4 linked regions of the Yarrowia lipolytica genome follow. The protein of the gene in region 3 interacts with the protein of the main gene of each other region in a biochemical or structural test. Links are inferred from orthologs where the notes say so. Each region holds a gene or a part of one and is shown on either strand. Other genes may lie near its edges.

What was found.
Region 1: of the proteins of YALI1_D35593g (region 3) and YALI1_E07818g, one has a biochemical effect on the other in vitro, tested with the Saccharomyces cerevisiae proteins (2 studies listed by BioGRID). The link is inferred for Yarrowia lipolytica from reciprocal best matches to the Saccharomyces cerevisiae genes PAH1 and HSL1.
Region 2: of the proteins of YALI1_D35593g (region 3) and YALI1_D03888g, one has a biochemical effect on the other in vitro, tested with the Saccharomyces cerevisiae proteins (2 studies listed by BioGRID, with this or other methods). The link is inferred for Yarrowia lipolytica from reciprocal best matches to the Saccharomyces cerevisiae genes PAH1 and SPO7.
Region 4: of the proteins of YALI1_D35593g (region 3) and YALI1_D33418g, one has a biochemical effect on the other in vitro, tested with the Saccharomyces cerevisiae proteins (9 studies listed by BioGRID). The link is inferred for Yarrowia lipolytica from reciprocal best matches to the Saccharomyces cerevisiae genes PAH1 and PHO85.

Annotation. Positions count from the first base shown.
Region 1 is NC_090774.1:779,864-786,928, reverse strand, and holds YALI1_E07818g (uncharacterized protein), read right to left. Parts: upstream 5,110-7,065; coding exon 4,607-5,109; intron 3,741-4,606; coding exon 575-3,740; downstream 1-574.
Region 2 is NC_090773.1:386,809-390,100, reverse strand, and holds YALI1_D03888g (uncharacterized protein), read right to left. Parts: upstream 1,294-3,292; coding exon 616-1,293; downstream 1-615. Other genes in the region: YALI1_D03865g (uncharacterized protein), read left to right, coding at 1,788-1,791, 2,930-3,292. UniProt on the Saccharomyces cerevisiae protein: Regulatory component of the NEM1-SPO7 complex which acts as a phosphatase and dephosphorylates the phosphatidic acid phosphohydrolase PAH1. Essential for the formation of a spherical nucleus and meiotic division.
Region 3 is NC_090773.1:3,557,523-3,562,672, reverse strand, and holds YALI1_D35593g (uncharacterized protein), read right to left. Parts: upstream 3,405-5,150; coding exon 3,296-3,404; intron 2,871-3,295; coding exon 580-2,870; downstream 1-579. Other genes in the region: YALI1_D35624g (uncharacterized protein), read right to left, coding at 23-265, 310-318; YALI1_D35575g (uncharacterized protein), read left to right, coding at 4,913-5,125. UniProt on the Saccharomyces cerevisiae protein: Mg(2+)-dependent phosphatidate (PA) phosphatase which catalyzes the dephosphorylation of PA to yield diacylglycerol. Required for de novo lipid synthesis and formation of lipid droplets.
Region 4 is NC_090773.1:3,340,257-3,343,720, reverse strand, and holds YALI1_D33418g (uncharacterized protein), read left to right. Parts: upstream 1-2,003; coding exon 2,004-2,888; downstream 2,889-3,464. Other genes in the region: YALI1_D33428g (uncharacterized protein), read right to left, coding at 1-1,013.

The sequences.
Region 1 (7,065 bases), on a different chromosome or scaffold from region 3:
CATCAGTGACTTTTCGACCAAGCTTTGAGACAGGCCATGGACTGGCAAGCACAACAAGGCGCAGATGCTTACAGTATATGTCGGCTACCGAGGGTCTACGCAGAACAGTCCTTCCATGCTCGTGGACTGGATATCTCAGAAGTGAGCCTTCAAAGTCCTTGTGTTAACTCTTCCCCTGCTGTTACACTCGAATCATGCTACAGTATTGGCTATTACGGACATGGGGCAGTCTTTCAAGACATTACCGTGCATGGTAGTTTGATTGTATCCAACACGGAAGGCGGCATGAACAAACCAGCATCACAGAGCATATTTGTTTTATAGAATCATTCCTGAATATGCCGTCATTTCTTATATATATCGTACTTAATGACAAATACAATTTGTAGTACACACTGTATGCTTCTTTCTCATGTGCCGTTCTATCAACAAGGAGCAGATTTGTGCTATGCCAGTCAAGAAGAGGTCAGTACTGCTACTCCTACAAGTACAATGTACCGTACACATACACGTCATCATTATATTATTATATTATCATTCATTAAATAAAATTAATTAGCTATATTAGTTACGTTTAGTTATTAATGAGCAGACCTTGAGAAACAAGGTGCGCCTTGATCTGGTCATAGAGCTGAGTAAACGAGCCCTGCGAGCCTCGATCGTGGAAAAAGTGAGCAAAACTATTGGTGTGTTTGAGGGGACCAATGTCGATATGCAATTTTGCCGATTTGATTTTCAGAGCATTTCGCGAGCTGATCTGACACTTAATGGAAGAGTGTGACACAGACAGATTGGAAATACCATACTTGCGCCACGATGCAAGCAGAGCCACAATCTCGTCTTCCAGCTGCTGGCTGGTGAGAGTGGAGTAGAGGGTTTGAGGAGGTTGCCGGGGGGCGACGTTGGGTCGCGAGAACATCTTCATGAACCACGATTGAGTGACGTTCCAAGGGTCGCCAGTAGCAGGAGCAGTACCGGACGTGTGAGCTGCATGAGCTGCTGCATGAGCTGCAGGTGCAGCTGGATCTTTCTGTGCATTCATGTGGGCGTTGGCATTCACACCAGGAGCAGCACCATAGTCGCTAGATTGGATCATGGTCACCTTAGAAGTGGGAGCAACTGGAGCCTCACGCTTGGGTGCAAATCCAAACCGTCGGATGAATGACTTCGTTCGGCTGGACTTTGACTGGGGTGGCTGAGTCTGCACAGGAGCAGGAATGGTAAACTGCGAGTTGTTCTGCTGCTGCTGGTGCATAGGAAGAACCATGGTGTCGGCCACACTCTGCACGGGGGGAGCAGGTGCAGGCCGTCGTGGAGCAGACACCACAGGCTTCTCTCGGAAGACAGGTGCGGGCTGCAACTGATGCTGAGTCTGCTGCTGCTGCTGATGATGATGCTGCTGCTGCTGTTGCGGTTGCTGTTTCTGTAGAACCTCAACAGGTCGTCGTTCGTGCAGTTCAGCAGCTGCCTGCAACTGTCTAACAGGCTTGGCGGCCTCTCGAGGGGAAGCAGCATGGGTATTCATATCACGAGACACGAGAGGACGTCGCTGGGAAGCAGAAGTCGTCTGTCGCGATAGGTTGCTCTGGCTGAGATGACCGTTGAGGTTGATGGACGAAGGTCGCTTCATGAAGTTGTCTGTCTGCATCTGGCCCGAGATCTTCATCTTGGACTGGGTTCGAGGCATAGACTCCACGGCAGTCTCATCTCGGTCCACAACAGGGATTTCGGGGAATTGAAGATCCTTGTAAAGCTCTGTGGACTCCCGACCAACATGGGTAGCAGCAGGAGCCACAGGAGTGGCCTCATTGGCATTGTCTCGGTGGAAAGAAATGTCCAGCAGAGAGTCCTCGCCCACAACAACCTGGTCCCCTCGCTCAGTGAAATCAAACAGGTTCTCCCACTCACTCGACTTTCGATCGCCCCCAAGCATAGGAGTTGTGTGGTTCGTGGAGGGGGCAGAAAGAGTGTTGTCGGAAATGTTGAGATGGAACTCCTCCTCGATGGCATCTGCGAACCGGTCGCCCTCCTCGAAAATCATGGGCAGGTAGTTGGGGGTATCAGAATGAGCGTTGGCCACACGCTCTCGCGAGTGGGTGTGAGTGTGAGAAATGGTTTGAGCGCGAGATACGCTGGGCTGCTGGGCACGGCCAGTGTCTCCTCCTACCTCTCGAGGATCAAACAATGACATGGGCCGTTCGAACTCAAACTCATCGTTGTATGCCATGGTTACTGCTCGCTTGGATGTGTTCGCAGCGGTTGCGCCAGCTGCGGTTCGAGAGGCGATGGACGTGTTAGCAGGGTCAGTCACATGGCGTCGAGCGTCAACGGGAGAACCAAGCAGACTGCCGTAGCTCTTCTTCGTCTTGACGGGCTTGTTGAAGGCAGAGTCAAGGAAGGCTTCAAAGTCGGCATCCTTGCTGGCAGGAGGCGACCGTGTAAGCCACGAGGGAGCTGACGAGATGGGAGCCCGTCGTGATGTTGGCGGCTGTTGATGGACAGGCTGTGATTGTCGTGGTGGTGACTGAACCGCTTGTGTTGGTGCCAGTGGCTGTGCTGGTGCTCTAGTGGCTGTGGATGTAGCGGCTGCGGTTGTAGGAGCTGCGGGTGCAGTAGCAGGTGCCTCTGTGTAAGGAACGTTGACGTTGAAAGGAATGGGTGCAGTACCAGCCGAAACAGGTGCGGAGGCAGTCTGTTTTCTAGGAGAAGCGACGACGGAGTTGCTGGCACTTCCTCGCATGCTTCGGATGCTCTGCTGAGATCGCTTCTTGACATGGGTGAAAGAAACACCTCGCTTGTGGGCCGAAGAAACAGACACCAGCGAACCCCGAGAGCCAAGTCGATGGCTGTTGTGGCTTGTCTTGCGCTTGTGTTGCTTGCGAGACGAGTGGCTATGGGACTTGTGCATGGCAGGCTGCATCTCCTGGCTCTGTTGCTGTTGCAACGTGGGAGGAGCAGTGGCAGCCACAGCGGCAGCATGATCATGTCGGTACTTCATCAGCAGACAGTAAAAGGTCTTCTCCGGGTTAGCATCGGGAGACAGCAGCTTCTGCATGATGATCTCGGCGTCTTCGCCGTGCCACAGAATCTGTAGGTTCTTGAGAATCTCTATATCAATGTCCTGCACCGAAGCCACAGGACGGGCCACATGCTCGTAAGAAGGAGCATGGATGTGAGTGGGTGTCACACCTCCGCTGTACTTGCGCACGAAGGGATGCTGGAAGATCTCGTCCATGGTGATTCGAGTGGTAGGATCTGTTCGTAGCATTCGCCAAATGAGATCCTTGGCGTATGGACTCAGCTCTGACGGCATATTGAACTTGCCGGTCTGCACCTTGAGCAGCAATCTTCGAATGTTGTCATCGTCAAAAGGCAGATGACCGGTCAGAAGCGCGAAAAGAATGATACCGCACGACCAGATATCCGAGGGGGCTCCGTGATATGTCTTACCGGCGACAATTTCGGGAGAGGCGTAGTGAGGCGATCCACAACTGGTTTCCAGCATCCGGTCTGTCTCCAGAGCGGCCATTCCAAAGTCGGCAATCTTGATGTTGCGGTTCTTGTCTAGCAGCAGGTTCTCGGGCTTGAGATCTCGGTGGCAAATGTTGAATCTGTGGCAGTAGTCGACTCCATTGATGATTTGCAAAAAGTACGAGGCGGCCTCATATTCCTCCAGGCGGCCCTTTTTGATGAGGTAATCAAACAGCTCGCCGCCCTCAATGTATTCCAAAACGAGATATCTGGGTTAGTATGGGTATAATGGTTGGCCGTTGTCCTGGTAACGGGCCTCAAGCGACCGCTGCGACAATTCCATGTTGAGTATACGTCGCGCACATCCACGCTGTGTATAGTTGGCCTGCATGGACACAGGGATGCAGCGTATACAGCATGTACAGTGTAGCACTGCCTGGGAGCGGTGTGGTGGTGGTGGTGGTGGTTGGAGACTCAGAAATAAAATAGGAAATGAGATACAGCTTCAAACACTGGTCTCCGCAAAGATAAGGCTGTATGTCCCGAATAATAAACCACGAAATGGCAAGCGGTAAACAAACACAACAAGCGAGTGAAGAGAACATTGATATATGCCATAGAAGCACCAAAACTAGTTGGAGGCTTACAGAGTTAAATCAAAGATCCACAAGCATGCGTCTTTCTCGAATTGCTGAGTCTCTTAGTGTCCTGATGTGCTCAGTGTACCGTGCTTGTGTGAACCACGCCCAGTGCCCTGTAAATGTACCGTTCGGGGCATTCATCTGACTATTAAAGGGGGGTATGTCAATGAGTGATTGAAGGGAAAGACGGACTTGAAAGTCATGTGCCAGTCCAGGAACTGCGTCTGGGACTATCTGAGCCATGTGACAGTGTGGAGACGCGTTTAGTCAAATTAGAGAGACGACTGAGAGCTGTAGGAGATATACTTCGGCTGTAACACCTTACTTGTCATCTTTGATGTCTCTAAAACACCTCTCAGTGTACCAAAAGCTCGCCTCACCATCAAAACGCGTCAAAATAGTCTCGTTGTTCCACAACATCACCACCCACCCTGTGATTTCACCACCATACACTCCACACCAATAGGTAATTTTCACGCTTCTTCAATACTCACAATTCTCCCTTGTTCTCCCACACATCGTACAGTGCCATCACATTGGCATGTTCAATCAATTTCATGATGATCACCTCCCGCTCAATACCGTAAGGTAGCCCCGTGGCGCCATGCTCCTCTCCGTTGGCCGCATTGACGGCGTCGGCCACCACTGCCTTGGGTACAATCTTCACGGCCGCAAGCTGGCCGGTGTGCGAGTGTCGTGCTAGTCGGACACGTCCCGAGGAGCCTCGTCCAAGGGTTCGGCCCAGTCGCCAAGGACCAATGTGCGTTTTTGTCTTCTTGTTGGACGACGTCGATGTCTGGGACAACCGTTTTGTCGTGGGGTCTGTGGTTGTCTGGCCCGGTGTCTGTGTCTGTGTGTTCTGTGTGTTCTGTGTGTTTTGTGCCTGAGCGTTGTAGTTGTAGTTCTGCTGGGCCTCATACTGTTGCTGTATTTGTTGCACCATGGGGTCGGTGGGGTATGCCCGCGAGGCTGCTGCAACAGCTGCTGGGTTGTGCATTGTCGCTTGTGTGTCGGTGGTAGAGGAACGACTGTGTCAGAAACCAACAATCTATCTCCACGAAGGTGTAGCACCAACGATACACTCGGCCTGCATGGTGCATTGTTTGCAAGAGTTTGCCCATTGTAGAGTTTCTTTGGAATGATGTGGGTTGAAAAATGGTGGTATTGTGGCTTACAACTGAGAGCAAAAAAATCCGAAAAAACACGGATAATTCGAACGGCATTTTTCTCTTTTTTTTCATATATATTTCTCTATTTCATCACCACCCCATCAACCCCCACAACCACATTCCACACGCGAAGAATGCACAAACAAAGTTGATGCGCGGCTGAGCATCCTAACAAACAATACATGTGGATTGAGGGAAATATGTAGAGAAAAATGTGGATTTTCGGGCCGTGGACGAATTGGACGGTTCATGACATTTGTTGGCGAATTATTCAAGGCCCAAATATTGCTTTTCCGTCACTTTAGCTCAACTCTACAGTACCGAAAAGAGCCTCATCATGGCCTAATCTGATGGCTCACATTCCAAGCCGTTTTGGGATACGCGACACGCGAGTCAAGGGTCATTTTTGTGCTGAAACCCTTACCCACAAGCAGCAAGACGGAGATCTGCAACCTTGTCGCCGGTCACGTGATGTCCACAATGGTTGTCATGGAGACCATTGTGGGATATATTCACAGTTGTACGGCTTGAGTGATACACTTTGAATGTTGTCCACGTGGTACAGTCGAGGTGTCGAGCGGTTAGTTGACTGTATTTGCACAGGGTATTTGCATTTTACAGCCGTAATAATATCAGCTACAAGTAGCCAATTATTGTAGGATTATTGTAGGAGTGGTCTTACACGTTACATACTGTAACATGAATTTGACCAGATGCAAGGGTGCAGTGGAATCTTGGGTTGGAGGTACAAGTACAAGTGGAGGGAAACGGAGACGGAGCGGTGGTATATTGGGTGGTTGTCAGGATATAATGTGTTGATACACAGAAGAACTGGCCTTGTTGGGAAATTTGCACTTGTACTTGTACTTGTACATTCATTTCCGCGTTTTATTATTCGACCGTGTCATCCCCATCTCTTCTGTTTTGATGTATACTTGTACATGGTGGGCCGAATTAGTATGTATAAAAACATGCCCTAAAAATACACCTTTTACTGTGGGCCACACTGACGGGACAATGGCAATGACAGCTCTCGAAACGCTCAAAGTTGACCCAAAATAGCCGTGTTTGGTGCCAGAACAAAGGTACGAGTGGAGCCAATCCGGTGCAACCACCAGCCAGTAGCGGAATGCGTCATTATCCTCTGAGCTGGAGTGGGAACGTGAATTTGTATGCGACACAACAATGGTGAAGTCGACTACGAGTAGTGACTTCTGCACAAGAACCCACCACTACTGAATACGATACAGTACGATTACGGTAAGAGTACAAGACAGTTACTACTGATACAAGTACGTATGTACATACTGTACAACAACAATTCAACACCTTCTGAAGAGTGATTCAGCTCGTATACTCTGGATACACGTGAAAGAGCGCCTGAACATTCATCTCAGTGCCGATCTCTGATAGACAGCATGGTTAATAATAATAATCTGCAGTGGGGAGCAGTTCAACAGTAGCTCCTCGTAGCTGTACACTTGTATCGTAAAAACTGTATCGCAGCTAATTCGACGTAATTTCCCGCCTGCCAAGCCAATATCGGAGCTTCCTTGACTACAAGTAGCCATTTATCGCTCTTATCATATATAAATGGGTCTCCGCCACACGACGAGTAGTGGACAGAAAGATAAGTAGCCACCCAAGCCCTCCATAGGGCGACATTCGGTAGCACTGGTAGCGCACTTTCCCGGAAATGACGTAATGCGCTGGGAAGAGACTCTGCGGCACATCACGTGACTGCGTTTATCCCGCAGGGGGTTCACGTGGACAGCTCCATTAAC
Region 2 (3,292 bases), about 3.2 Mb from region 3:
CAGAGAAGAAATATGAATTATTTTGTATGACAAAAGTTGGTCAATTGGCCTGCCGAATCAATTTTCCTGTCGAGATATTTGTGATCCGATGAATATTGAGAGGATTTGGGTGAATGCCCCCAGGTCAGACGATTCCTGTGTCTGAGAGACAAGACACTAACATATTTTGTACTTGCAAGATGAGTTTTCCTTCATTTTCCTCGCTGGTTAAATTTCCGTTGATTTTTTTTTGATCCGGTCAAAATTGATCGAGTTACTGTGGCTATATGGTATGGTACATATCCCATAAACACCACCATACACCTATTATCCACCACATGCATTAAAATAAATATACTTCCTTTTAGTAGTTCTCTGGGACAGTCCTATTCAGAGTCCAGTAGAGATCTTTCGGGGTTTGTTCTGAGAGAGCAGTTCTAATCACGAACTGCAAACAACCGTGTACTGGATGTCAGAAGTGTCGCCAGAGACAGATGAGAACATTATGTTTGGGTTGTCATTCGTTGGGCAGTCATTCGTTGGGCAGTAATTCGTTCGGGCTGTACTTCATACCATGCCGGAATGATTCCAGAGCCTTATCGCGCTGTACTGCCTACAGGTTCCTTCCTCTCTCTTTCAACTGCGGACAGGCTCCTTCCTTTCCTTCCTTTCCTTCTTTTCCTTGATCTTCTTCTTTCTCTCTCTCTCAAAGTACCCCAATCTGTATTCTTCCCATTGCTCGATGTTCTCGGTGCTAAACACCCTTGTATTCAGCACCAAATGAACGGTGGACGAAAAGTAGCCTCCCGTTTTCACCAACTTGACATTGAACCCGCGGAGACCTCGATTTGAGTTGTATATGAACTTCCTTGGGTAAACCAGTTTCTTGGTGTACATTCCAGAGAGATGAAACAGTCCCAGAGTTGACAGAACCGCAATCAGACAGAAGCGATGGAAAAAGAAGACGTAGGAATAAATGGAAGGGTAGATCTGAGAGTAGACCAAATACGCCGTCAAACTCAGCAAAACAAAGTAAAATGTCGAGTACTTACGCTGCGATTGCCGCTGGTTGAGATACTGCTGTCTCAGAGACTCCTCCAGGATTAGCAGATTCGAATAAATCTCCGAAGGAGACGATAACGGGGGAGGAGAAGGAGGTAACGGAATGTTCTCTGCATCTGCGGTTTTGGGCGGTTTCAACACGGGTTTTTCGCGTCGGCGTGGCTCCGTGACGCCCGCAAGCTTGAGGTTGGGCAGCAGTTCCACTTCTGTGTCTCCATCCGATTCTGGAAGGAAGTCGGGGCTGCTTTCCATGGTAATGAGAGTGACGTCGGGACTTGGGCGCAGAGAGTTTGGCGGGGAAGAATTTGGCGGCGGCAAGAGTCTATTTCCCTCTTCAGGTCACGTGATTAACAGGATTAGCGCTGACGTTATGAACCCGCTGGCGTTGTTTGCTGCTCCACTAACGTGTATCGCAGGGTGGTGGTGAGCTAGGAACGAAAATTCACAGTCTACGGTGGAGTGCCCAAATTAAGGTTTCACAACGCTGATTAGTAATCGAAGAGAAAAGGGGTCTGGGGGGAAATTAAATCCTGAGGGCGAGGGATTTGGGGGATAATAGTAGTATAATTGGAGTCAGGGAGGTGTGGGGAATCGAATGGTATGTTTGAAACATAAACATGGTCATTTTTGGGCGAGTTTGATGGGGTATTAAGTCGCGGTGTTGTAGAGTGGCTAAGGGGGAGAGATACGTAGATGTGAAATTGTATATGGGGATGAGACAAGTGGCAAAAGTGTGATTTCTGTCAATGAGTGTCCAAATTATGTCTCACTTGAGTTATAAATGTCTTCAAATGCTCAGCAATCGATCGACCATCTATAATGCGAGGGACAAAATACGCATGATTCCACAGATTTGAGACTGTTGTTGAGCTAATATGGAATTTTGGATTTGATAATCGACTTCTAAATGGATCAATAAATCTCTTATATCACTTCCTAATCTCTCTAAGTCCATTTTTCACCCCACTATTACTACCTCTATGATCATGCATACAGTTACTCGGGTCGTAGAGATGAAGTATCTAACTTGGAATCTGGCCGGTGGAATTGGGTGAATTTTTGGCTGAACAAATAAACTGTGCCAAAGACTCATCAGACCAAAATATATCTCAATATGAAGATTACTTCATCCACTATGTTCCTCCTAGTGGCCATCTTCCCTGCATCAGAATAGATTCACTCTAGAAGCGTCTATTTAGGTCGTATTGGATTTCTGAAACTTTCAGGAGATAAAAAACACCGTATTTATTCTGCTCAATCTCTTGTTGGACTTTTTTCACTTCCAAAAACCCCCAATATCTCGTCATGTTCATTTTCCACAGCCAAAATTAACTTTTCACACCCCACCAACCAATCACGTTCTGGATAAGTCCGGATCTCGCTAAGCGGCGGTCCAAATGAAAAATTACAGACAAAAAATGTATTCACCAGCCGGCTAATACCCAATAGCAACTCTTCTCATCTCTTCTGCTCCTCTCAAACACCGAAAAATGCGCTCCTGTTCTTCTACATTATCTACACTATCCTGCACCCCGTGTAAATTGTGCAGAAAGAAGTGATCCGTTTCTGAGCCTGATAGAAAGCTCCGAATGAGCCGAAAAAAGGGGATATATCCAATCACGTGACCAACACAGGTTCCTTCACAAGAACCGCCCCGCGCCATACAAATTCGGTCCGTATAATGCCTCCCTGTCCTCCATTGTACTACATTATCGGCCAAAGTTTAATTTCCATCACAATGAACCTTATTTTTTACTTACCAAAAAAAGAGGTCACGGCAAAAAAAATTATCGTCACTCCATTACACCCCCACACAACATGACCAAAGACATCATTGTGCTGATTTCCGGGTCGGGAACCAATCTCCAGGCACTCATTGACGACGCAGAAATCGGCCCCCGCATCTCGCTCGTCATTTCGTCGTCTCCGACCGCTTATGGACTGGAGCGAGCACAAACGGCCGGAATCCCCACCCACGTCCATTCTCTGGCGTCCTACTATGGCGATTTGCCCAAGGATGCCAAGACGGAGCGTATGGCGGCCCGACAGAAGTTCAACGCCGATCTGGGCAACTTCATCGTATCCAAAACCGACACTTCGCTGGTGGTATGTGCTGGGTGGATGCTGATTCTGTCGCCCAAGTTTCTGGAACCTGTGGAGGCGGCCAAAATGTCCATCATCAACCTGCATCCTGCTCTGCCCGGCGCTTTTGCCGGAATCAGAGCCATTGAACGGGCCTGGGAAGCCGGCC
Region 3 (5,150 bases):
TTCCAGGCCTCCTATGTACGGCTTACTTGCCCCCAAACCATGCATACAAATCAGATAAAAAAGTTCTTGAAAAATTTATCTGATCCGGGTCGGAAGAGTGTGAATACAGTAGCGGCCATTTAATGACGTAAGGGAGTGTAGAGGAGACAGGGGAAAAATTAGTGCACTGTATACACAGTATATAATAAACTCCTGCGATTAAAATGATGCTCCACTCGGGGCATAACAATCCGCTATCCACAAACAATGTGTCTCTGACCTGCTCCTCCACCTATGGAAGCACCATCGGAACCCGAAAAAGGTGTACACCAAATACATGAACGATGCAAACCTAACAAAGCCTTTCAGGAGGGAAAAAAATAACGTCAAACTCAGCTGTAGATCCAGATAATATCTTGGCTTTCTAGCGGGAACCATGGTTGGGTCTCACCAGCATTCGTATCGCAGGTCCCGTGACATTCAGGTACGCACAACTTATACATACTACAAGTAGCTACACTTTCACTCTCTTGTCCCCCTCCCCTTCGACGTCACAAACTACGGTGTACAGTACGGATATATTTATGCTTGATTTCCTATTTACTCAGGATTGATGCTTGCTCGTTCCATCTTCAGGGCCTTCATGGCTTTTTGAACGTCATCCTCATCCATGTGCAGGCCCTTGTTGTCCTCAATAGTCTTGTTGATGACTCGCTGCATCTGCGAGGGCGGCTTGACAGGGGAGTGGTCAGAGTCGTTGTCTAGGTCGACGTCATCATCATCGTCGTCATCCTCCTCCAGCGCGTCGCTCTCAGCGTCCACAAACTCCTCATCGTCATCATAGTCATCGTCATCGTCGTACTCGTATCCGTCGTCAAGATCAAGATCGTACGAAACGGGCTGGAATCGAGAGTTCGTAGGAGCCTTCTTATAGCTGAACTTCGACGGGTTCGCGGAGTCCTTCGGCTCGGAGGGTCCGGCAGGGTCGGCGCCCGAGCCTGAGGGAGCCGCGCTGGAGCCTGCCGAACCGGCCCGCGGGCTTCTAGGAGATCTGGGCGACTTGGGCGACTTGGAGAGCTCATCATCGTCAGTCAGCTCGTCGTCGGTCAGATCAGACAGGTCAATAATGGGATCTCGCCAGTAGTTGACGTCCGTGTATTTTTCCTCCTGAATGGTCGTGAACTCGCTTTCCGGAGGGAAAAAGTGGTCGACAAGATCGGCAATGTGGACATACGAGGACTTGTAGCCAGCCAGTTCAAGCAGCTCCATATGGACCTCGGCGTTCGAGTTGATTGTGAAGATTCTAGACGACGGCACACCGACAGATCTATACGACAACGCGTCGGTGATTCGGTTGCCAAATCCAGCGTAGAATGGATTGGTGGCGTCTTCGGTCTCGCCAAACAGCGACTTAATGTCCCGCAGACACGCCATCTTGAATACCTCAGGTTTCTTAAGAATCACCTCTCTCTTGAGAGCCGCCAGGGTTCTATCAGGCGACAAGATGACGGGTCCTGGAGGCAGCTTGAAGCCAAACTGGTCAACACCGCCTAGATATGCCCTGGTTGCATCTGCCTGTCCCACTGATCGTGCTGTCAGATACATGATATTATACCCGTTGGCTCTGATATCGGAAAAGAGCTTGGCCACGCCGGTGTGGGTCCAGTCTCGGCCCATCATGGTGAGCAGATGGCCCAGAGCATCGGACTTGGTGATCGTGCCATCAATGTCGGAAATGACAACAGGAATGTCGTACTTCCAGTAGAACAGCTGGGCCGAACACGACGTCTTGCCGTTATTGACAGCAAAGGTGACCTCGTTCTTGCCGGGCTTGAGATCCAGAGACTTGAGCTGGTCAGACGTCAAACGGATGGTCTTGGCGTAGTGCTTGTTGTCCGAGGCCTGAGACGGAAGGTTAGAAGAAGGGAGGGGCTGAGGGGAGTGGGCCAGAGACTCGGGCGAGCTCATATGCTCGTGATGGTGGCTGTCTCCAGCGCTCTGAATCACAAGGTTACCCTCCTCGTCTTCAACCAGGATGTGGGACAGGTCTCTGTCTTCTCCCAGTTCCTCAGCGAGGATTTTCTTGACCAGCTCCTCTGATCGACTCACGTCCTCGTGGTCGTACTTGTAACCAGTCATATCCAGAATAATGTCTCCGTTGTCGGAGATTTTACTCTGAATGTTTTCTGATGTGAGTTTCTTGGACAGTGCACGGGCCTTCTCCCAAATCTCCTCGGACGAAGGGGCGGGAGAAGTGGCAGCCCGGTGGAGACTCTGCTCAAGATCCAGAGGCTCTGTGGGCTCTGTGGGCTCTGTGGGCTCTGTAGGCTCTGTGAGCTCTGTGGGTTCTGTCTCTGTGGGTCCAGAAGTGTCTGTTCGATCAGTATCGCTGTTGGAAAACGAGGCCGAAGAGATGCCTTCCGAGATAGTGGCTGGGTGTTTCAACGAACCAGGAACAGGCTCTGGAGCTGCCGTGCTCGCACGTTGTCTTCTGTTCACCTCAGGGTCATTCTCATCATCGAAGCTGCCCATCTCATGTAAGTGATCCGCCGAAGGTGATCTGAATGGTGGGCCCTCCGAGGGCGATCTGCCGTGCTTGCTGTCGCCACCCTGTTTAGAGTCGTTCAGAGCAAGGTAGTCCGGCTCACCATCCCCGCCTTCCTCCTGGCCCCAGGATGGCGACGAAGAGGGAGAAATGACGGGGGATGTCAGGAGCTCTTCGGGCACGTCTGCGTCGGTCTCGAACACAAAGAAGACTTCTCCTCCATCGCCCACCTTCATGGGCAGCTCGGTCTTGGTGCCATTGACACAGAACTCGACCTTTTTCTGGGACGGTCGCAGCAGGGAAAAGATTCCAAACCGCACATGGAAAGGAGAGCAGTTTAGTTCACCTGGGTTAGTGTGTGGATATGGTGGTTATGGGGATGAGGTGTTACGCCACCACGTTGTGTTCATGTGTTGAGTGTTTCGAGTGAGTGGGAAGTAGTTGACAGGAAACCCGAAACAAGCTGGTTGCTCCAGTTGTATTGGCCTCTTACAACTTTGTCCATATGACATAACAACTGTGAATCATACTGTTGCCACCTGGGCACGATTACAGTCATGGTGTACAACATGTGGTCACATCATACGGACCATGATAGTTACAAGAGTGGTGTAACTGCCAGCTAGAAGTAACAACTGTAAGGCCACTTGCACCCACTCTCTGTTCCCAAAGTCCACTTCTCTATCACCCTCTCAACTTGCATCCTGTAAGTCACCGTCGGTCACTGCATCAGCTCCACTTCTCCAACAGCCTCTTGATGGCCATACTCACCGTCTTCCCGCTCGACCACAATGATGTCAATTGCACCACTGAGTGTTGCAGGGTTGATGGAGTTCCAGGTCTTGGAAACGGTTCCAATGGCTCGCCCAACGTACTGCATCGTGTGGTTGTGTGGTGATGATCTGTTGGGCACCTTCACAGAGTTCGGTATACATACAGATATGCAGCAAGTACAAGGAGGGGTTTGCTGTTCCAATCGATGTGATCACGTGGGGAGTGGATGAAAAGTGCCGACTAGCACACAGAAATACAGCCTGAAAAGCAAACAAACATGGCTGGAATCATGGTTCAAAATCACCAGCCCTGGGCCCAACAATTATACAAAATTCATCACCGTTACTTGGCCTAAATGGGGCGGCCTGTGTGTGTGGAACCTTGTCTCCGAGGCTCGGGAAAACGACTCAAGCGAAAATACGAGGGGGGGTGCACAACTGAGGTGAGAGTGAGGCCACAACAGCTTCTCATGCCAGATGTAGATGTAATATTGGGCAAATAACCGAATTTTTTAGTCATCGGAGATGTGCAAGGGTAGATTATGTCACTAACAGCTCTCCAATCACAGTTCTACCTCGGCTTGTTTTTGGCACCTTAGTAGTTCGATGTTCAAGTATAGCCGGCTGGGCCTAAATGCTCTTGGCCACAGTGGGTAGTGCGTGTAACAACACAAATACATACATAATATGGGCGCAGTACGTACTTGTACGTACCATGCCGATAGAGACTATTTCACATCATAAAGACTGTTTTTGGACATGTAATGTGGATGTCTTGCAAGCCTCTCTGTCTATCTGAAACTTGCTTGCTGTCTCCTGCCCAAGACCGTCAATAACCAGACACCACCACCCCTGCAAATGTAAGCTTCCCCACCTTGTAGGGCTAGGGTCTGCTGGCACTTAACGGTCCGGATTTGGGTTCGATGATGTAAGCTGAAGAGCACGAAGGGGGCGATGAAGAGTTCACCCAGAACTTTGTACTGAGACGGTGGCGAACTCAGAAATCCAGACTTGTTTACGTAACCAACACTGAAACGACCCATGTGTATAAACTATCCTATTAGCTTATTTCGGACTACTCCTTCTGCGGGCGGTCCTCAGTCAGACATTTACTGGCCATTTCTGCAAGTACGACACATCGCATGTCCCAAATCGGAATATCCTAAACTCAAAACCCGTTACTAAGCAACCTCTCAATTACCTGCTCCAACTCCAAGGTCCTCCCTCGTGCATGTCTCAGGACTGTGGCAAAAAAATTCCTCGAAAAGTTAAGCTTCGAGGTCATTTTTGTTGCACGTGAGGGCCATAAAGGACCCGCAATCTACGAAAATATAGAGATAGAGAGGAGTTTTTGTGGGATAAATTCAATGAAAATAATATATTGACAATACTGAACACTTTGTCACCCCTCTCTGGCCGTCACAACGCCTGTGCATCATTTTATGGAATTCTGCCCACCTTGCATAATCAGAATTAGGCTTTGAAAAGTTTGTGCGTACAGTAGCTAACCTTTGGAGGCTCTGATAATTCTCACCACTCAGTCCATCTCAAGCTCATCTCAACGCTTTCTACCGTTTCGCTACAGAAGAACAAAAAGAAGAGATACACAGAAACGATGGAAAGTCCAGTAGCATTGGAGTCGAGAGGGCTCTCGTTGAAGAGAAAGAGGGTGGATTCGCCCCAAGTGATGGCTTTAAAGAAACCAAGGGATGAGGGAGGAGTGCTTCCTCAGGATGATGGCAAACTGACTACTTGTCCAGAAACAGGTGACCTATCTGCAGGCGTTTACAAGGCGTTCGTTAAGAATGCCCTAGATGAAGTTGAAAAGGTGAGTTATGCTGTCTTTCCCATTT
Region 4 (3,464 bases), about 220 kb from region 3:
GCGCGCGCGTCGACTCCCTCGCCCACGTAGCCTTCCTTGATTAGAATGTTGACCAGCAGGCCGTTGCCGCAGCCCAGGTCATAGAAATAAATATCGTCCTTGTTCTTGTACATCTGGCCCCACAGCTCGATGAGAAAGGCGGCGATGGCAAGATCTTCAAACACGTGTTTGCGAGGGTCTGTGGACTCGACCCATGAGGACACCAGCGAATGTGCGTACTTTTGCTTCAGGTAGATGTATCTGTCCTGGAACTTGATTCGGTCGATGATCATGTCGTGATGCACCCGTTTCTTGTAGCCTGCCTTTTGACCCGACGAGTGGCGGAACACAGTGTGGAGAAGATGCAGGGCAATTCGACCGCATCGTTCCTCCTGCTCGGCCGAGAGCTCGTGGTCGGTATACTTTTCGTAGTAGACGGAGATGGCACTTCCGTCAAAGTACAGCAATACGGCCTTGACACAGGGCAGGTAGTAGGGACACGACTTGGGATGGTCGTGGTGCGAAATGTAGGAAATGGCGATTTTGGCGCCCTCGGACGTTTCTTTGCCGTCAGAGTCCCACAACGGCTTGTCCGAGTGGACGATGCATGTTTGGTTGACGGAAAAGTCGTTCTGGGGGTTTCGGGGGATGATTCGACGAACAATGACTCGTTTGACTGGACAGGGAGTCACCTCGACTTGTCGGGGCTCGTAATCCTGCAGATTCGGAGGAACTGGAGTGTTCTTGTCCTTGTCTGTATCCTTCTTGTCGTCGTCGACAGGTCCTTCATGGGTATCGAAAATGAACCCTTCATTGGCCTTGTCCGTGCCCATGATGTTCGGCATCATGTTGAGCGAGTCAGAAATGATATCGGCTCTCATGATCACCGACGAGTTGATGTTGGGCTGGCTGATCACGTTGAGCATGGCCTCGAGAAAGTGCTGGGCCCCAAAGTCGACCGGGTGCGACAGATACGGCGTCCATTGTGTGCCGACCGCGGACGGCTCGCCGCTGATATCGGTGGGTGTGAACATGGCGTGACTGGTAGAGGGTCAAACGGGTCGCTATTGTTTTTCTGTCTGATTTGATTTTCCATTGTGATGCACGGCGAAAAGTTAATGCGCCAGGGGGACATGAAGGAAGAGCAAACGGGGGACTCTGTGGGTGTTGGAGTGGGAATTGTGAAGAAATAATTACATAAATATGATTGCAATCGGACGAGAAATCCACTGGAATTTCAAATGTCCAATTCGACCCACTTTTGAGCATTTCAAGCCACCCCTCACCACTCACCCCGCCTAGAGTCACCGCCGCCGCACAACCGAACAGGAAAGACAGGTTATGACTCATTCGTGGGGGAAAGAGAAAGAAGAGGACCATTGAGTCATCCGAAACATACAACTCAAACCGGATCTTTAGGGATCAGATGTCACGTGGGCCGAAACCCGACCTTGGAATATTGTTCTATGTTGTCGAGTAATCCGTTAAGTAAATAGTGAATATTAGTTGGATTTGATGGGGGTACAGGACGACTCTGTAAGTAGGGTTGAAATGGATCCAGAAACACGCGGAGAATTGGAATCACGTGAGAAGCAACTACAGTACCATTTGGCGTGAATTTGGACTCAAATAAGTCCTTATTTTATCATCTACAATGAACCATTCTCCTACCTCCGCTGACTCATAGTTCAAGTAATTTTATACTTCTTGACACGTGATGGTGCATTTGGTGAAAAATGGATCTGGATTTCGGCGGTCCAGTTTGAGAGCAATTTAGAGCTGTGGGGGTATATATATATATATATATATATAGATGTGCTTGGGGTCTTGTTTTTTCCCTTCTTGTTTTCTCTTCTTTTTTACCACTCGGACCCTTTTGTCCGTCTCCTGTGGTTTTCCCCCTTTGCTCACGGTTTGCTCTACTGCTTGTCCCAACCAGCTCCATGCACGTCGTCAACATCTAAAACTCAAGTACAGCTGCCAACTGAGTCGTCACCACACACAGTCGTCCACCACCACCACCAATGAACACGTCATCGCAATTCCAGCAGCTGGAGAAGCTCGGAGAAGGCACGTACGCCACGGTGTACAAGGGCCGCAACCGAACCACGGGCCAGCTTGTGGCGCTCAAGGAAATTAACCTGGACAGTGAAGAGGGCACGCCTTCCACGGCCATCCGAGAAATCTCGCTGATGAAGGAGCTTAAGCACGAAAACATTGTGACGCTGTACGACGTGATCCACACGGAAAACAAGCTGAATCTGGTGTTTGAGTACATGGACAAGGATCTCAAAAAGTTCATGGACACCAATGGCAACAAGGGCGCGCTGGAGACCAAGCAGGTCAAGTGGTTCATGTACCAGCTACTCCGTGGCATTCTCTTCTGCCACGACAACCGGGTTCTACACAGAGACCTCAAGCCCCAGAACCTGCTCATCAACGCCAAGGGACAGCTCAAGCTGGCTGACTTTGGTCTGGCCCGAGCGTTTGGAATCCCCGTTAACACCTTTTCCAACGAGGTCGTGACGCTGTGGTACCGGGCTCCGGATGTGCTCCTTGGATCCAGAACCTACTCCACCTCCATCGACATCTGGTCTGCAGGCTGCATCATGGCCGAGATGTTCACTGGCCGGCCTCTGTTCCCCGGATCTTCCAACGACGACCAGCTGCAACACATTTTCAAGCTCATGGGCACGCCCAACGAGAGCACGTGGCCCAATATCTCGTCGCTGCCCAATTACCGATCCAACTTCCAGGTCTATGCTCCCCAGGACCTCCGAGTCATCATCCCCCAGATTGATAACGTGGCGCTAGATCTGCTCTTGTCGCTGCTGCAGCTCAAGCCGGAGAACCGAATCACGGCTAGACAGAGTCTTGAGCATCCTTGGTTTGCCGAGTACCATCAGTAAGCTGCATCAACCGCAAAACCTGTGGGAGCATGGGTTCAAGTATCATTGCTTCCTGCCAGTGCCGGCACTAGGTGCCGTTAAAGCACCACTGGAAGACCGACCCAACTACTGTTACTGGATCTTCACAGGCTAAAGAATTAACAAGGAGGAGGATAGCACTAATAGATTGTCGTGTTTGAGTGGTGCAATAGTCTGAAGTTGTATTGGAGAGGAATGGGCCGTATTAAAATAGTGAAGAGAGATCGCCGTACTATTTAATAGCCATGTAACACTCCAGGATCTACCGGAAAAACGAGTCACGCGATACACACGAGTTGAACATGAAAGTCACGTGAATTGCACGTGACTTGAACTTACATTCATGTCTGTACCATATGTACAGTATGTACATACATTCGCTATCTAAAACATCTCGGTCTTATGTAGCCTCTATTTATTTGATTCATGTCATAACTGGTATCATCTGAATCCCCACGTGATCAGGACTGTGACGAAATTTGTTACACAATAATAGGATCATTATTGACTGAGTGAGATGGTTGTTCATTTGTGACTCAACAAACCCAACTATATATC